Xenopus tropicalis: one gene and its partners. The protein of the gene in region 3 interacts with the protein of the main gene of each other region in a biochemical or structural test. Links are inferred from orthologs where the notes say so. Each region holds a gene or a part of one and is shown on either strand. Other genes may lie near its edges.

Region 1 (4,532 bases), on a different chromosome or scaffold from region 3:
GACTGAGCCTTTCCCTCAGAGATAAGAGCAGCACCCAGTGGTGACAGTCAGTGACTGAGCCTTTCCCCCAGAGATAGGAGGCAGCACCCAGTGGTGACAGTCGGTGTCTGAGCCTTTCCCTAAGAGATAGGAGGCAGCACCCAGTGGTGACAGTCAGTGACTGAGCCTTTCCCTCAGAGATAAGAGCAGCACCCAGTGGTGACAGTTAGTGACTGAGCCTTTCCCTCAGAGATAGGAGGCAGCACCCAGTGGTGACAGTCAGTGACTGAGCCATTCACCTCAGAGATAGGAGCAGCACCCAGTGGTGACAGTCAGTGACTGAGCCTTTCCCTCAGAGATAAGAGCAGCACCCAGTGGTGACAGTTAGTGACTGAGCCTTTCCCTCAGAGATAAGAGCAGCACCCAGTGGTGACAGTTAGTGACTGAGCCTTTCCTTCAGAGATAGGAGGCAGCACCCAGTGGTGACAGTCAGTGACTGAGCCTTTCCCTCAGAGATAGGAGGCAGCACCCAGTGGTGACAGTCAGTGACTGAGCCTTTCCCTCAGAGATAAGAGCAGCACCCAGTGGTGACAGTTAGTGACTGAGCCTTTCCTTCAGAGATAGGAGGCAGCACCCAGTGGTGACAGTCAGTGACTGAGCCTTTCCCTCGTGCTGACAGTTGTTAAACTGCCGGTCCTATTCATGCTTTCATCATACAGAGAAGTTATGGACGGCTCCGGAGCTTTTGCGGATGACGAGACCCCCGGCACCGGGCACCCAAAAAGGCGATGTGTACAGCTTTGGGATTATCCTACAGGAGATTGCGCTGAGAAACGGCTGCTTTTATATCCAGGGGATGGACCTCAGCCCAAAAGGTAAATTCATATATTCATTTATGTGGCATTACACAGATGCATCACAGACTCCTGACTGGCACAGTATAGAGGTTGGGCATTACACAGATGCATCACAGACTCCTGAGTGACACAGTATAGAGGTTGGGCATTACACAGATGCATCACAGACTCCTGAGTGACACAGTATAGAGGTTGGACATTACACAGATGCATCACAGACTCCTGACTGACACAGTATAGAGGTTGGGCATTACACAGATGCATCACAGACTCCTGAGTGACACAGTATAGAGGTTGGGCATTACACAGATGCATCACAGACTCCTGACTGGCACAGTATAGATGCTGGGCATTACACAGATGCATCACAAACTCCTGACTGACACAGTATAGAGGTTGGGCATTACACAGATGCATCACAGACTCCTGAGTGACACAGTATAGAGGTTGGGCATTACACAGATGCATCACAGACTCCTGACTGGCACAGTATAGAGGTTGGGCATTACACAGATGCATCACAGACTCCTGACTGACACAGTATAGAGGTTGGGCATTACACAGATGCATCACAGACTCCTGAGTGACACAGTATAGAGGTTGGGCATTACACAGATGCATCACAGACTCCTGAGGGACACAGTATAGAGGTTGGGCATTACACAGATGCATCACAGACTCCTGACTGACACAGTATAGAGGTTGGGCATTACACAGATGCCTCACAGACTCCTGAGTGACACAGTATAGAGGTTGGGCATTACACAGATGCATCACAGACTCCTGAGTGACACAGTATAGAGGTTGGGCATTACACAGATGCATCACAGACTCCTGAGTGACACAGTATAGAGGTTGGGCATTACACAGATGCATCACAGACTCCTGAGTGACACAGTATAGAGGTTGGGCATTACACAGATGCATCACAGACTCCTGACTGGCACAGTATAGAGGTTGGGCATTACACAGATGCATCACAGACTCCTGAGTGACACAGTATAGAGGTTGGGCATTACACAGATGCATCACAGACTCCCGAGTGACACAGTATAGAGGTTGGGCATTACACAGATGCATCACAGACTCCCGAGTGACACAGTATAGAGGTTGGACATTACACAGATGCATCACAGACTCCTGAGTGACACAGTATAGAGGTTGGGCATTACACAGATGCATCACAGACTCCTGACTGACACAGTATAGAGGTTGGACATTACACAGATGCATCACAGACTCCTGAGTGACACAGTATAGAGGTTGGGCATTACACAGATGCATCACAGACTCCTGAGTGACACAGTATAGAGGTTGGGCATTACACAGATGCATCACAGACTCCTGAGTGACACAGTATAGAGGTTGGGCATTACACAGATGCATCACAGACTCCTGAGTGACACAGTATAGAGGTTGGGCATTACACAGATGCATCACAGACTCCTGACTGACACAGTATAGAGGTTGGACATTACACAGATGCATCACAGACTCCTGAGTGACACAGTATAGAGGTTGGGCATTACACAGATGCATCACAGACTCCTGAGTGACACAGTATAGAGGTTGGGCATTACACAGATGCATCACAGACTCCTGAGTGACACAGTATAGAGGTTGGGCATTACACAGATGCATCACAGACTCCTGAGTGACACAGTATAGAGGTTGGGCATTACACAGATGCATCACAGACTCCTGAGTGACACAGTATAGAGGTTGGGCATTACACAGATGCATCACAGACTCCTGACTGACACAGTATAGAGGTTGGGCATTACACAGATGCATCACAGACTCCTGACTGACACAGTATAGAGGCTGGGCATTACACAGATGCACCTCAGACTCCTGACTGACCATTCCCTTTCTCCTTAGAGATAGTACAAAAGGTGCGGAATGGCCAGCGCCCCTATTTCCGCCCCACAGTAGACATCAGTTGTCACAGTGAAGAACTGGGCATCTTGATGGACAGATGTTGGGCCGAGGAACCTTTGGACAGACCAGATTTCAACCAGATCAAGGCCTACATCTGCAAGTTCAATAAGTAAGGAGCCCATCGTAAAAAATGAGTTTAAATTCTGAAATATTGGGTTTAACCTATACTCGCCAATAACCCTGTAGGGTTGAACTTTGTGCCTTCCACTTGCAGGGAAGGCAGCACCAGTATCCTAGATAATCTGCTTTCCCGTATGGAGCAGTATGCCAACAACCTGGAGAAACTGGTGGAGGAACGAACACAGGCCTATCTAGAGGAAAAGCGCAAGGCCGAGAACCTGTTGTACCAGATCCTTCCGCAGTGAGTACCGCACAGTATAAATATATAGATACACACAGGAGACATGAATATCCTATAAATGAGATCCTTCAGCCTTCAGCCTTGTGGTTTACCTATTTATGTGTATAGGGGATAAGTGAGGGTAGAACACACAGTAGGTATATGTAGAACATGAGGGTAGAACACACAGTAGGTATATGTAGAACATGAGGGTAGAACACACTGTCGATTATATGCAGAACATGAGGGTAGAACACACTGTTGATATATGTAGAATGTGAGGGTAGAACACACAGTAGGTATATGTAGAACGTGAGGGTAGAACACACTGTAGATATATGTAGAATGTGAGGGTAGAACACCCAGTAGGTATATGTAGAACGTGAGGATAGAACACACTGTAGATATATGTAGAACGTGAGGGTAGAACTCACAGTAGGTATATGTAGAATGGGGAGGGTAGAACACACATTAGGTATATGTAGAACGTAAGAGTAGAACACACAGTAGGTATATGTAGAACGTGAGGGTAGAACACACAGTAGGTATATATAGAACGGGGAGGGTAGAACACACAGTAGGTATATGTAGAACGTAAGGGTAGAACACACAGTAGGTATATATAGAACGGGGAGGGTAGAACACACTGTAGATATATGTAGAATGTGAGGGTAGAACACATTGTAGATATATGTAGAACGTGAGGGTAGAACACACAGTAGGTATATGTAGAACGCAAGGGTAGAACACACAGTAGGTATATGTAGAACGCAAGGGTAGAACACACAGTAGGTATATGTAGAACGTGAGGGTAGAACACACAGTAGGTATATATAGAATGGGGAGGGTAGAACACACAGTAGGTATATGTAGAACGTAAGAGTAGAACACACAGTAGGTATATGTAGAACGTGAGGGTAGAACTCACAGTAGGTATATGTAGAACTTGAGGGTAGAACACACTGTAGATATATGTAGAACGTGAGGGTAGAACACACAGTAGGTATATGTAGAACGTGAGGGTAGAACACACAGTAGGTATATGTAGAACGTGAGGATAGAACACACTGTAGATATATGTAGAACGTGAGGGTAGAACACACAGTAGGTATATGTAGAACGTAAGAGTAGAACACACAGTAGGTATATGTAGAACGTGAGGGTAGAACACACTGTAGATATATGTAGAATGTGAGGGTAGAACACACAGTAGGTATATGTAGAACGTGAGGATAGAACACACTGTAGATATATGTAGAACGTGAGGGAAGAACTCACAGTAGGTATATGTAGAACGGGGAGGGTAGAACACACAGTAGGTATATGTAGAACGTAAGAGTAGAACACACAGTAGGTATATGTAGAACGTGAGGGTAGAACACACAGTAGGTATATATAGAACGGGGAGGGTAGAA
Region 2 (4,532 bases), on a different chromosome or scaffold from region 3:
AGGTCACGTGATTTAAAGAATAAGGATTTGGTTCGGCCAGGAGCATGGGTTCAGCCGAATACTGCTGAAAAAGGCTGAATTTTGGCCGAATCCTGGATTCTGTGCACCCTACAAATGATCAAATGATAAACCTTAACAAAACAACTGTTGATTTTACTTATAAGTTCTATGACTTATCATAGCTATTTCTTGTCACATTTCTCAAGCAGGTGGCCTTGGAGAATCCGCAGTTACAGGCATCGTTGTTGGAGCCTTTTTAGGAACTGGACTCTTAATGGCATTCTACTTTTTCAGGTATGTTATAAAAAAGCCTTAATACTTATGGTTTTGTCTTGCCATGATACACTTCCTGTCTTTGGGAACCAGGGGGGTCATTTATGAATATTTCACAGTAGATATAAAATGCTGGTAACAGCAATTGATTCAGTGAAAATAAAACCACATTTTAATGGCTCAAAAATTCATTCAAAACATAATGCAAAACAAATTCAGATATATACTATACCAAACAGTGACAAGGTGCATCCTAGTGCCTCTCCTAACGCGTTTCGCACAGAGTGCTTCATCAGAGGAGGTGTGGTGTGTTGATGTCACATCCCTTTTATACCCATCCACATCTACCCTATACATTGTACAGGGTATTGCATTGAGCATATATTATAACAATATTTTAAAATATACACATTCCAGGGTTTAAAATTGCCCTGTATTCAGCATAAATTATACAGAGTCACATAAAAACCTCGTAGACATTGCAAATTTTCAAAATTCTTCTTAATCAAAAACTTTTTAACCATTATAATGGATATTATGGCCACTGTGTTAGAACATCACACCCAACATATAAAAATACAGTGAAGTTTTAAAGTGCAAATTAGTGCAAATCGATTAAAACCAGCTAAAAACTTAATACAAAACTATTTAGGAAACTAGTTGCAGGCAATACAATTTTGAGAAGGGATTCCTTCCATCCAGAGCATACTGTAAAGTCAATACCATATGCACAGTTGGTGAGACTTTATAGAAATTTCACTAATTATAAAATATTTAAAGAACAAGCGAGACAAGAGTGTGAGAGGCTCGAAGAGAGAGGATATAATAAAAATGATCTGCAAATAGCGTTACACAAAGTAGGTGACCTAATAGCAAATAGTAACAAAAATAGAGGTAAAAAAAGTAAAATGGAAACCTCCAAAACTACAAAAGTTGAAGAGATCAGGTGCATTCTAGATTTTGGGGTGCAATATAAACAAATAACTAAAGTTATTAAAAGAAACTGGAATATTTTACAGGTGGATCCAGTGTTAAAAAAGCTGAATATGAGACCAGGTGTTATAAGTAGAAAAGCAAAATCGATAGCGGGATTTATAGCCCCAAATAAATTGAAGAGAAATAACGATAGGAAAGTGACATGTTGGTTAGGTAATGTAAAAGGTTTCTTTCCATGCAAAGGTTGTAAAGCCTGTAAATATACTGGTAATAAAAAAACATTTTTCAGTAAAAATAATGATAAAGAATTTAGTATAGATACTTATATATCATGTCAAACACAGTATGTTATCTACTGCCTACAATGTGAATGTGGTTCTATATATGTGGGACGGACTATCAGACAGCTAAGAACAAGGTTAGGAGAACATCTGCGAGGACTGAAAAATAAGGATGATGATAACCCTTTATATAAACATTTTAAATATTCACATGAAGGCAAGCAGATGCAGTTTCAAATGTTTGGCATTGATAAAATAAATGAAAGAAGTGAAGGAAACCTGGTTACTAAGCTGTTGCGGTTAGAATCTAAGTGGATATTTACATTAAACACTGTAATACCAAAAGGGATGAATACAAAATTTGAATTAAAACCATTTTTAGTGTCATCCTGGAAATAATTTGTGTAGGAGAAATATGGGTTGCAACCTATAGCACTAAATAGCACCAAATGATCTTAAAGGCAATTCTTCTGGGTTTGAAAAGTGACTTATGAGTAACTGGTCGGGGTCTGAATATAAGATAAAGCGAATGAACAAAAAGAAAGAGTTTTTAGCTGGTTTTAATCGATTTGCACTAATTTGCACTTTAAAACTTCACTGTATTTTTATATGTTGGGTGTGATGTTCTAACACAGTGGCCATAATATCCATTATAATGGTTAAAAAGTTTTTGATTAAGAAGAATTTTGAAAATTTGCAATGTCTACGAGGTTTTTATGTGACTCTGTATAATTTATGCTGAATACAGGGCACTGTTTAACCCTGGAATGTGTATATTTTAAAATATTGTTATAATATATGCTCAATGCAATACCCTGTACAATGTATAGGGTAGATGTGGATGGGTATAAAAGGGATGTGACATCAACACACCACACCTCCTCTGATGAAGCACTCAGTGCGAAACGCGTTAGGAGAGGCACTAGGATGCACCTTGTCACTGTTTGGTATAGTATATATCTGAATTTGTTTTGCATTATGTTTTGAATGAATTTTTGAGCCATTAAAATGTGGTTTTATTTTCACTGAATCAATTGCTGTTATTTGTATACTATGTCAGGACCTATCAGTGAAATATAAAATGTGATTTCCTTTCCTAAATATATACTGTTGTGATTGATTAGATATAAAATGCTGGGACTGTTATCACTGTATTGTCCAGCATGCCTGGCAGTTAGGGATGCACCAAACCCAGCTTTTTGGGTTCGGATGAACCCCGAATCCATCCCAAAACAATATTTGGTGCAGTGGTTCTCAACTATGAAAATGGTCCCCTAATGGGCTCAAAACCAAAGGAGGTTGCATGAAACTTTATGGTGAATGCTTAGTTGCTATCATAGATATCTTTGGAACTGTAAGAGAATGACCATTTTATATATATGTAATTATATGTATTACAAGGTTGGGCTTTCATTTCACAAGACTGAAGACCCAGAATCTGTTTAGTAGGGGGAGTTTCACTCCGATTTAGGGTTCTTCTCAAACCCTTCTATGAAACCGAAGACATTCTCTAGCCTCATATGTTATTTCTGTGACCCAGTCACCTAAAGTAAATATAAATAAATGGAGGCCACTCACTTCACATACAAAAAAAGCAACATAGGTGTTTGGTGCAAAAAAACCCAAAACTGTATAGGGTACCGAAAGCAGTAATTTTAAATAGGATAAGGGTTTGCACACCCCAACGTTCTCGATTCCCCTAGAGAAAGGCTCTTTGCTGAAACGTTGGGGTAATTCTCATCTTTGGCAAGTGTATCCGCTATCATGCGTGTCTCTTTTTTGCCTATGCACATTTTGTGGTATGTATTATCTTATCATTTTATGTGTTATTTTCTGTAATTTTGTAATTAAAATTGTTTGCTGTTAAATCTTCTGCATATTATAGAAAGGATTTTTTTTTAATACTACCACTGTGCTTGTGTTTTCTGTGTGCAAACCCTTATCCTATTTAAAACCCAGTCACCTGAAGTCCAGGCTAAATTGACTCTCCTTCAACACAGATATTATCATTGGGTTATTTAATGCAGTTTTTATTTACAAAAACATATGGAAAAATCTCCTCTAGTAGCAAAAAGTGACACTTGACCATCTCACCATTGACATTCCTCCCGTTGCAGAAAGAAATACAGAATAACTATCGAAAGACGAAATCAGCAGGACGACTGCAACCTAGGGAAACACCGACAGCTTCGGGAAGATTCCATAAGATCTCATTTTTCTGCGGCATAAAGAATAGAAAACAAACAAAAATCTTTAGGAAGAAGCAACCAAAGACATCATTACGTGTGATGGGGTTCTTGCAGAAGCTATTTTTTAAGGCAGTAGAATCTTATTTCCATTCTCATATTGTTTTCAGAAACTCAGGAATGATCGATTAATTGCATTATGCCATGTGGCCTTTCATCTTGTGAAAAACGGGCACGGTTTGACAAGGTTATTACGATCTGTGCGTAGAAATCATTGGGCGATGTGTGTCGGACAAAGATAGGCACTTTTTTAAAAAAAAAATAATGTTCCTTTTCAACATGTTTGTCCAGAGCTTCATAGGAAAAACAAACCCAAATTGGCACACATAGTTAACACTGAAATTATTTTTTTCGACACTGAAAATTTTTGCAGAAGGAAAGGTTGTTGGAATGCAACCGCGCAATTTTGATTTGATAGTGCGCAACCTTGGCAGGTACTGGCAGCAGTACGGGTTGTATTCACTCCCATACAGTAGACGTTGTGCGGAAGAGTTAAAACGAGCACGCCGGGCCATTAAACCCAAAGCCTCTGCACGGAATATACCATTCACGTATCTTATTTCTGCTATGAATTCTCGAGGTCGATGGGTTAAAAATACCTGTTTTTGCCAAAGTACACTGAAGAGTTCATGTTGACTCTGGCGAGCTGAAAGCAAACACAATGAAGCATTGATGCAAATGAATCTGTCCATCTTGTTGAATTTTTCTGGTTTGCTCAATCTTGATACGGCTTAACCTGCGGCATGACAGATCGGCTGTATGTTTCAGGGTCAAGCTTGAGTGAACACAGGCATTG
Region 3 (4,458 bases):
TGTGGATAAATCAGCTGTAGTACCAAGACTGATTTAATGAAACGGGTAATCTATTTATTGGAATATATTTATTAATATATATGTTTTAAATTATATTTATTAAATGTTGTTTTAACAATTTAGACAAAGCACTAAATTCTTTCTAGCTGGCTCTTTAGTCTAAGCAGGGTGGTAAACACCCAGTGTGGTCTATTTATATAATAAACTGGATTGGTGATTACATTATAAGTTGCTTATCAGACTTAATCAGAGTAAGGTACAGGTATAGGACCCATTATCCAGAATGCTCGGGACCAAGGGTATTCCGGATAAGGGGTCTTTCCGTAATTTGGATCTTAATACCTTAAGTCCACTAAAAAATCAATAAAACATTAATTAAACCTAATAGGATTGTTTTGCATCCAATAAGGATTATTTATAGCTTAGTTGGGATCAATTACAAGGTACTGTTTTATTTCTACATAGAAAAAGGAAATCAGTTTTAAAATTCTGAATTATTTGATTAAAATGGAGTCTATGGGAGACAGCCTTTCCGTAATTCGGAGCTTTCTGGATAACGGGTTTCCGGATAAGGGGTCCGATACCTGTACTACAATTTCAGCAAAACAGGCTGACACTCAGGGTGAAGACACACAGAGCTACTAGAAGCAGCTACTTGTCCTGGCTACTAAAAGAGACAATGCTGATCATTTACTGATCATTTACTGATAATTGTCTCTACGTGTGTCTTAGCAGAGGCAATTCTCAGTATTGTCTATGGCAGGGTATTTTCTGGCGTTTAGTAGCCACTAGTAGCTACTAGTAGCTCCATGTGTCTTCGCCCTAACTGGGTCACAGTTGAGAACCTAATGCTAAATGCCAATATTTATTATAAAGAATTTAAATTCTTACAAGGTACAAAAATGGGCTATTTGTTATGCCTTTTAAGGATGTATTTACATCCTTAAAAGGCATAACAAATAGCCCATTTTAAATGCCTTAAGAACGTTTAATTCAGTAAGTTCTCAGCTGTGGTCCAGTAGGTATCAGCCTGTTGCTTTTCTGAAAGTCTGATGATTACACATTAAGCTGAAGATCTGGGGTGTGCATACATGGACCCACCAGTTTTTGTGGTGAGTCTACTTTTTATCAACTGGTCTTACTGAAGTTTGGTAAATCCTTGATGGACAAACACTTGGGTGTTGTTATGGATAATAAACTTAGCTGAAGCAAGCAATGCCAGTCAGCAGCAGGAAGATACTTTCTTATGAAATATACCTTAAGGCTTTATGTACAAAAAATGTGCATTAACCATTTGTAATGCAAGAATATGCTCTCACTCACGGATACATGTATTATTTGCATAAAAAATATATTGACTAATTTTTTGGACAAAAAATCAAAGATTGATGCAATTCAATCCTGTAGGAAAAGGGTGGAGGTGAAGTTTCGTAAATAACAAGGAAGATTAAGCTACTTGAAATTAATTTTTCAAACTAGACAGGGATTTATAATGTATTACTCACTTCCTTTGAAAGGCTCAAACTGCACCAACCTGTCCTATAAAAATCCTGGAACTATACAAGGTACAGGATAACTGCAATGCCCTCATCTGGGTGAATTCTAACAATTAGTATCCGGTGCTTACATACAGATCTCTCACAACAAAAGTTCTAAGTATGCCACTGGGGGTGGGGGTAATCTGAAGTGCAACATCACAGGGACACAGGGTGGCACATTCCTTTTAGTGACAACTAAAAACGGAATCTTCGACTGGCAAACTGGATGTTTCTAGCCAGAGTAATGCTGGTGCTAGAATGTGTCCAGATAAGTTTTCAGATAACCTCTGAGTACACCACTATGGTATAAAAGTGCAGCCAGGCTGGTTTGGGAGTGAAAGCAAGAAAGGGGCAAATAGAGACACACACACAGAAAGGGAAGAGTTTGAGAGGCAGAGAGAGGGCACAGAAACAAGAGAGGAAGAGAAGCAGAAGCAGAGGACAGTAACTGGACTGCAGAGAAGGTGTAAGAGCTACAAAGCTGGCATCAGTTGCAATGGAGTGGAAAGTCTTTTTGTTCTGTGGCTCCCTGCTATTTGTCTCCTTACAGTTCCAGAGCTGTGCAGCCCACCCAGTTATGGACTTGGACAAAGACAGAGACCTGGACACCTTAAAGGTGAGTTTTTTCACGTGTCCTATATAATTGTGATTTCCTTTCCTTGTAGCTTGACATGGGTAACAGGGTATGGAGTGTACTAGTATACAGAATTATAAAGTGTAGGGGATAGATTACAAGGCTTTAGAAGGGCAGAAGACACGTAAAGGTGCCCAATGCAGAAATGATTTGCTAGGCATATAAATTGCGCCTTCTCAGACTGCAGTTAATAAAAGCTGTAGTATTATTAATTTACAGTTGCTGCATAACACGTCTAGAAGTAACATTCCTGGCAAAGTAGCAGTGTGGGCAGGAAAGCGCAGCCTGGGGTTAATGTAACTGTGTGCCAGACTTATATGCTGCCTTCATGTTCTGCTACAGGGGGTACTGGAGAGGCTGGAAGAGAAACTGGCTGTTATGGAAGCTTTGGACGCAGATGCTACAAATCCTAGTTCAGAGGATGCCGATGCTGCTCGGCTGGCTGTAATAGACCAAGAAGAGATTGCCTCCCAGTCGTTCCCAGAGCCCCAGCTGCCGCTTAAGGACTCATTCCTCAAAGGGTTAAGGTCGCTGCGAAACCCCAAAATGATGAGGGGCTCCGGCTGCTTTGGAAGACGAATAGACAGAATCGATTCCCTGAGTGGAATGGGCTGTAATGGTAAGTGCACGAGAATTTTGTGCGATGTTCTAGAGATGGGACGGGCTCATGTGCCGTGGGACGGAAAGCGTTAACACGTAACAAGTACTGCGGCACCTCTGCGACTCACCCGACTCTGTCTCCGTGCTACTGACTAAGGTTCTGTGATACTGTAACACTTCTATTAAATGGTAAACCTATTGCCTTGTGCAATGTATTCATGGGAATTATTGTAATTAAAGGTAGGCAGCATCTGATAAATACGATTTTGCTTAGAGGGCATCATTTTCTGGGAGCAGTTCCATAACTGGTCACTTAGGAGTAAATAATCTTATAGCTTGAATACACAAGCAATGGATATATGTTAGTTGCCTGAGAAAAATAGCCTTTAGATCCCATTGTATTCTTAGAAACCCCACTCAGATAGTAGAAAGTGCTTTACATTGGCTCTGCTAATTATATATATAAGTAGTGTGATGCACAAGGCATACTGCTCCTGTGACATAAAGATTTCATTATTGTAGACCAGTTTATTACCAGCAAATATTCTCAACTGAGGGCTGACCTCTGTAGATTATACACATGTGGAATAGTTGTTAACCAGTATTTATTATTCTGTTTTCAGGGTCCAGGAGATATTGATCCAGGAAGGATTTCAGATTCTCTTCTGTTTCTTTATGCCCTATAAACTTTGCATAGACATTTGTGTTCTATTTAAGTCTTTGTTCTTATTTATTTATTTATGACTATTTATTTGATATTTTATAACAACATTTGGTAGCACTTCATAATTCATATTAAAAATGACAGCTGACACTTTATATTGGCTTGTGTTATTCATTTCATTAAACTGATAGTTAATTGCTTGAGATGTTAATACAAGTGGAAGAGGGAAAAAAAGACAACTTTTAAGGGCAGATTTATCAAAATGTGAGCCTAATATATATTGTTATTATTGTAAAGAGTCATTTCTGTTACAAGCAAGCACATGCACTTTGATCATTGCATCTGTGCCAAGGTCAACATTTAATAAATCCAACATAATTCAGATGATCTCATATGCAAATTAATTTAGACGTATAAATCCAGATGACAATGTGAGAGACAAAGTTCAGTGCTTATACCTTCCATCAACCCTCAGCCTTGGCTCTCCCCTTTGTACACTGTCAGAAACAGATTTAGAAGATATTATGATGTCTTACTTTCTTTTCCAATAACATCCCAAAGGCCTAAACATTAGTTATTATAGAAAGCCTTGTTCAATTTCCATATGCTGGATATGGTACAAAAATCTATATTTTCATACATACAGGTCAGAAATGGACAACTGGATTATTTAAATTATTTTCCTATATTTACTTAGTATTTACTTACTGATATTCTTCTGAAAAGTGTTTTAAGGTTGTAAAATAGCATAATCCAGTAACCAACTGCCACCAGCACAGATATAGTAAAGCTGTCACAATGAAAGCAGGAGTCTAATTTGTTGCCGTGGGATGCTGGACCTGCTTGTGTATGCATGGGATATATATTTATGAATGTTACTATTAGCTATTACAAAAGTTCTGTTGAAATGTTAAAATGGATCTTATTCAATATTCTTTAGTTTTTGTTTTATATATATATTTAGTGTAGTTTTATATGGCTTTGTTGTTTCAAGATCTAGCAGAATTTCTTCTATTCACTTT
Region 4 (4,532 bases), on a different chromosome or scaffold from region 3:
AGGGAAGAGTTACCTGTATATAAAGATGGAGGATAGGGAGGCAGGGGGAGTTACCTGTATATAAAGATGGAGGATAGGGAGGCAGGGGGGAGTTACCTGTATATAAAGATGGAGGATAGGGAGGCAGGGAAGAGTTACCTGTATATAAAGATGGAGGATAGGGAGGCAGGGGGAGTTACCTGTATATAAAGATGGAGGATAGGGAGGCAGGGGGGAGTTACCTGTATATAAAGATGGAGGATAGAGAGGCAGGGGCGAGTTACCTGTATATAAAGATGGAGGATAGGGAGGCAGGGGGGAGTTACCTGTATATAAAGATGGAGGATAGACAGGCAGGGGCGAGTTACCTGTATATAAAGATGGAGGATAGGGAGGCAGGGGGGAGTTACCTGTATATAAAGATGGAGGATAGGGAGGCAGGGGGGAGTTACCTGTATATAAAGATGGAGGATAGGGAGGCAGGGGGGAGTTACCTGTATTTAAAGATGGAGGATAGGAAGGCAGGGGGGAGTTACCTGTATATAAAGATGGAGGGTAGGGAGGCGGGGGGAAGTTACCTGTATATAAAGATGGAGGATAGGGAGGCAGGGGGGAGTTACCTGTATATAAAGATGGAGGATAGGGAGGCGGGGGAGTTACCTGTATATAAAGATGGAGGTAGGGAGGCAGGGGGAGTTACCTGTATATAAAGATGGAGGATAGGGAGGCAGGGGGGAGTTACCTGTATATAAAGATGGAGGATAGGGAGGCAGGGGGAGTTACCTGTATATAAAGATGGAGGATAGGGAGGCAGGGGGAGTTACCTGTATATAAAGATGGAGGATAGGAAGGCTTAAGATGGGAGGAGCAGGGGAGTTACCTGTATATAAAGATGGAGGATAGGGAGGCAGGGGGAGTTACCTGTATATAAAGATGGAGGATAGGGAGGCAGGGGGAGTTACCTGTATATAAAGATGGAGGATAGGAAGGCAGGGGGGAGTTACCTGTATATAAAGATGGAGGATAGGGAGGCAGGGGGAGTTACCTGTATATAAAGATGGAGGATAGGGAGGCAGGGGGAGTTACCTGTATATAAAGATGGAGGATAGGAGGCAGGGGGAGTTACCTGTATATAAAGATGGAGGATAGGGAGGCAGGGGGAGTTACCTGTATATAAAGATGGAGGATAGGAAGGCAGGGGGAGTTACCTGTATATAAAGATGGAGGATAGGGAGGCAGGGGGAGTTACCTGTATATAAAGATGGAGGATAGGAAGGCAGGGGGGAGTTACCTGTATATAAAGATGGAGGATAGGGAAGGCAGGGGGAGTTACCTGTATATAAAGATGGAGGATAGGAAGGCAGGGGGGAGTTACCTGTATATAAAGATGGAGGATAGGGAGGCAGGGGGGAGTTACCTGTATATAAAGATGGAGGATAGGGAGGCAGGGGGGAGTTACCTGTATATAAAGATGGAGGATAGGGAGGCAGGGGGGAGTTACCTGTATATAAAGATGGAGGATAGGGAGGCAGGGGGGAGTTACCTGTATATAAAGATGGAGGATAGGGAGGCGGGGGGAGTTACCTGTATATAAAGATGGAGGATAGGGAGGCAGGGGGGAGTTACCTGTATATAAAGATGGAGGATAGAGAGGCAGGGGGAGTTACCTGTATATAAAGATGGAGGATAGGGAGGCAGGGGGGAGTTACCTGTATATAAAGATGGAGGATAGGGAGGCAGGGAGGAGTTACCTGTATATAAAGATGGAGGATAGGGAGGCGGGGGGAGTTACCTGTATATAAAGATGGAGGATACGGTGATGATCAGGAGGATAAAGCAGATCACTATAGACAGGATCTCCAGGATGGTAAAACTGGCTGCAGGGGGGGCACAAAGCAGAATACGGGGGGGTCACACAGCAGCCAGGAGAGTAACAGCGCCCCCACATGCCCATAATCCCTAGCTAATAGCCCCCAAGTGAGGCTACAGCCTCTATAACAAATCCATATACCTGATCCCTACATGCCCCCCCCCCCCTGGCACCTACATTTCTTGCACTTGGGGTCACTGTGATCAAACCCACAGGGAGGGACATCCCTCGGGATCCGGTTTCCCGGCCACTCGATCTCCCGTCCCGGCAGCGGAACAATCTTCCTCAGTGTCCCATTGTAATTATACACAATCTGGGGGAGAGAAATTGCATTAAAGGGGAAGTTCACCTGCATTTCATTTTCCCGGGACCCCCCCCCCCCCAATACCGGTTCCTCACCTGGAAGGTTCCGTGGGGTTCATACATGTCCCACAGGGAAAAGTCGTTCTCCCGGTCGCCATTGTCATCGATCTTCACAAACCCAGAAGCCCCTGCGGCAGATAAAGGGTAAGTTAAACCACTACAAATACACAGCTTTACCAGGGGCCCCAAAGCAAATACATAGGGCCAATTAGCGAGTGTATCACATGGTTGAGTATAAGCTCTGCGGTCCAGCCGCTGACCCTGATTCTGCCCGAAGCACAGCTGGCGGTGTCAGTGTACGGCAGCCCGAGGGGATCAGCCTGACATATAGAAACCCCCCAAGCGTTACAGCAAACTCTTCCCACCCACACATCCCTCCCAGCCAGAACATTCCTCCTGTCTAATTACCAGCCTGCCTTGGCTGGAGTCATTAGCACAGCCTGCACGGTGAGAGCTGGGGGAGAGCGTGACCCCAATCTTATATAGACAGCAGCAAGGCTGAGGGAGGAGAATTCTGGGAGATGGGAGAGGATTGTGGGATACATCAATTACATGAGAAAAGACAGATCAGTATAAAGGCATAAGGCTACACTCGTGTATTGTAAGGGATAATGTACCCCCTACTGTAACTGATAAGGATATTAGCAGTCACTGAGGGGTTCTGTGCCCCCCATATAAAGGCACAAGGCTGCAGGCTGAGTTATACAGGGAACTCTGAGTATCACTCATGTATTATAAGGGATAATGTACCCCCTACTGTATATGATAAGGATATTAGCAGTCACTGAGGGGTTCTGTGCCCCCCATATAAAGGCACAAGGCTGCAGGCTGAGTTATACAGGGAACTCTGAGTATCACTCATGTATTATAAGGGATAATGTACCCCCTACTGTAAATGATAAGGATATTAGCAGTCACTGAGGGGTTCTGTGCCCCCCATATAAAGGCACAAGGCTGCAGGCTGAGTTATACAGGGAACTCTGAGTATCACTCATGTATTATAAGGGATAATGTACCCCCTACTGTAAATGATAAGGATATTAGCAGTCACTGAGGGGTTCTGTGCCCCCCATATAAAGGCACAAGGCTGCAGGCTGAGTTATACAGGGAACTCTGAGTATCACTCATGTATTATAAGGGATAATGTACCCCTACTGTAAATGATAAGGATATTAGCAGTCACTGAGGGGTTCTGTGCCCCCCATATAAAGGCACAAGGCTGCAGGCTGAGTTATACAGGGAACTCTGAGTATCACTCATGTATTATAAGGGATAATGTACCCCCTACTGTAAATGATAAGGATATTAGCAGTCACTGAGGGGTTCTGTGCCCCCCATATAAAGGCACAAGGCTGCAGGCTGAGTTATACAGGGAACTCTGAGTATCACTCATGTATTATAAGGGATAATGTACCCCTACTGTAAATGATAAGGATATTAGCAGTCACTGAGGGGTTCTGTGCCCCCCATATAAAGGCACAAGGCTGCAGGCTGAGTTATACAGGGAACTCTGAGTATCACTCATGTATTATAAGGGATAATGTACCCCTACTGTAAATGATAAGGATATTAGCAGTCACTGAGGGGTTCTGTGCCCCCATATAAAGGCACAAGGCTGCAGGCTGAGTTATACAGGGAACTCTGAGTATCACTCATGTATTATAAGGGATAATGTACCCCCTACTGTAAATGATAAGGATATTAGCAGTCACTGAGGGGTTCTGTGCCCATATAAAGGCACAAGGCTGCAGGCTGAGTTATACAGGGAACTCTGAGTATCACTCATGTATTATAAGGGATAATGTACCCCCTACTGTAAATGATAAGGATATTAGCAGTCACTGAGGGGCTCTGTGCCCCCCATATAAAGGCACAAGGCTGCAGGCTGAGTTATACAGGGAACTCTGAGTATCACTCATGTATTATAAGGGATAATGTACCCCCTACTGTAAATGATAAGGATATTAGCAGTCACTGAGGGGTTCTGTGCCCCCCATATAAAGGCACAAGGCTGCAGGCTGAGTTATACAGGGAACTCTGAGTATCACTCATGTATTATAAGGGATACTGTACCCCCTACTGTATATGATAAGGATATTAGCAGTCACATAGAATGGTTTGTGTAGGTTCTCACCGTAGAAGGATTTATTTCTCATGTAACTGGTGACGGCCGAGGCATTCTTCATGCTGTAGCCGTTGGCGCGGGTCTCATTGACAGCGTGGGCATACAGCAGCACCGAGTCGTGGAACGACGCTGACAGGGCATTCATCTGTACAAGGGGGGGGGGGGGGGGGGGGGCAAAAATAATTTATTAAAGGT

What was found.
Region 1: the proteins of nppb (region 3) and npr2 form a complex in vitro, tested with the Homo sapiens proteins (3 studies listed by BioGRID). The link is inferred for Xenopus tropicalis from reciprocal best matches to the Homo sapiens genes NPPB and NPR2.
Region 2: the proteins of nppb (region 3) and npr3 form a complex in vitro, tested with the Homo sapiens proteins (4 studies listed by BioGRID, with this or other methods). The link is inferred for Xenopus tropicalis from reciprocal best matches to the Homo sapiens genes NPPB and NPR3.
Region 4: the proteins of nppb (region 3) and npr1 form a complex in vitro, tested with the Homo sapiens proteins (2 studies listed by BioGRID). The link is inferred for Xenopus tropicalis from reciprocal best matches to the Homo sapiens genes NPPB and NPR1.

The regions. Positions count from the first base shown.
Region 1 is NC_030677.2:215,288,101-215,292,632, forward strand, and holds part of npr2 (atrial natriuretic peptide receptor 2), read left to right. Parts: intron 1-698; coding exon 699-854; intron 855-2,717; coding exon 2,718-2,886; intron 2,887-2,991; coding exon 2,992-3,138; intron 3,139-4,532. UniProt on the Homo sapiens protein: Receptor for the C-type natriuretic peptide NPPC/CNP hormone. Has guanylate cyclase activity upon binding of its ligand. May play a role in the regulation of skeletal growth.
Region 2 is NC_030677.2:200,603,031-200,607,562, reverse strand, and holds part of npr3 (atrial natriuretic peptide receptor 3), read left to right. Parts: intron 1-206; coding exon 207-294; intron 295-3,607; coding exon 3,608-3,719; 3' UTR 3,720-4,532. UniProt on the Homo sapiens protein: Receptor for the natriuretic peptide hormones, binding with similar affinities atrial natriuretic peptide NPPA/ANP, brain natriuretic peptide NPPB/BNP, and C-type natriuretic peptide NPPC/CNP.
Region 3 is NC_030683.2:65,825,166-65,829,623, reverse strand, and holds nppb (natriuretic peptides B), read left to right. Parts: upstream 1-1,860; 5' UTR 1,861-2,034; coding exon 2,035-2,154; intron 2,155-2,514; coding exon 2,515-2,791; intron 2,792-3,395; coding exon 3,396-3,412; 3' UTR 3,413-3,591; downstream 3,592-4,458.
Region 4 is NC_030684.2:144,221,727-144,226,258, reverse strand, and holds part of npr1 (atrial natriuretic peptide receptor 1), read right to left. Parts: intron 4,483-4,532; coding exon 4,347-4,482; intron 2,341-4,346; coding exon 2,249-2,340; intron 2,163-2,248; coding exon 2,027-2,162; intron 1,857-2,026; coding exon 1,772-1,856; intron 1-1,771. UniProt on the Homo sapiens protein: Receptor for the atrial natriuretic peptide NPPA/ANP and the brain natriuretic peptide NPPB/BNP which are potent vasoactive hormones playing a key role in cardiovascular homeostasis.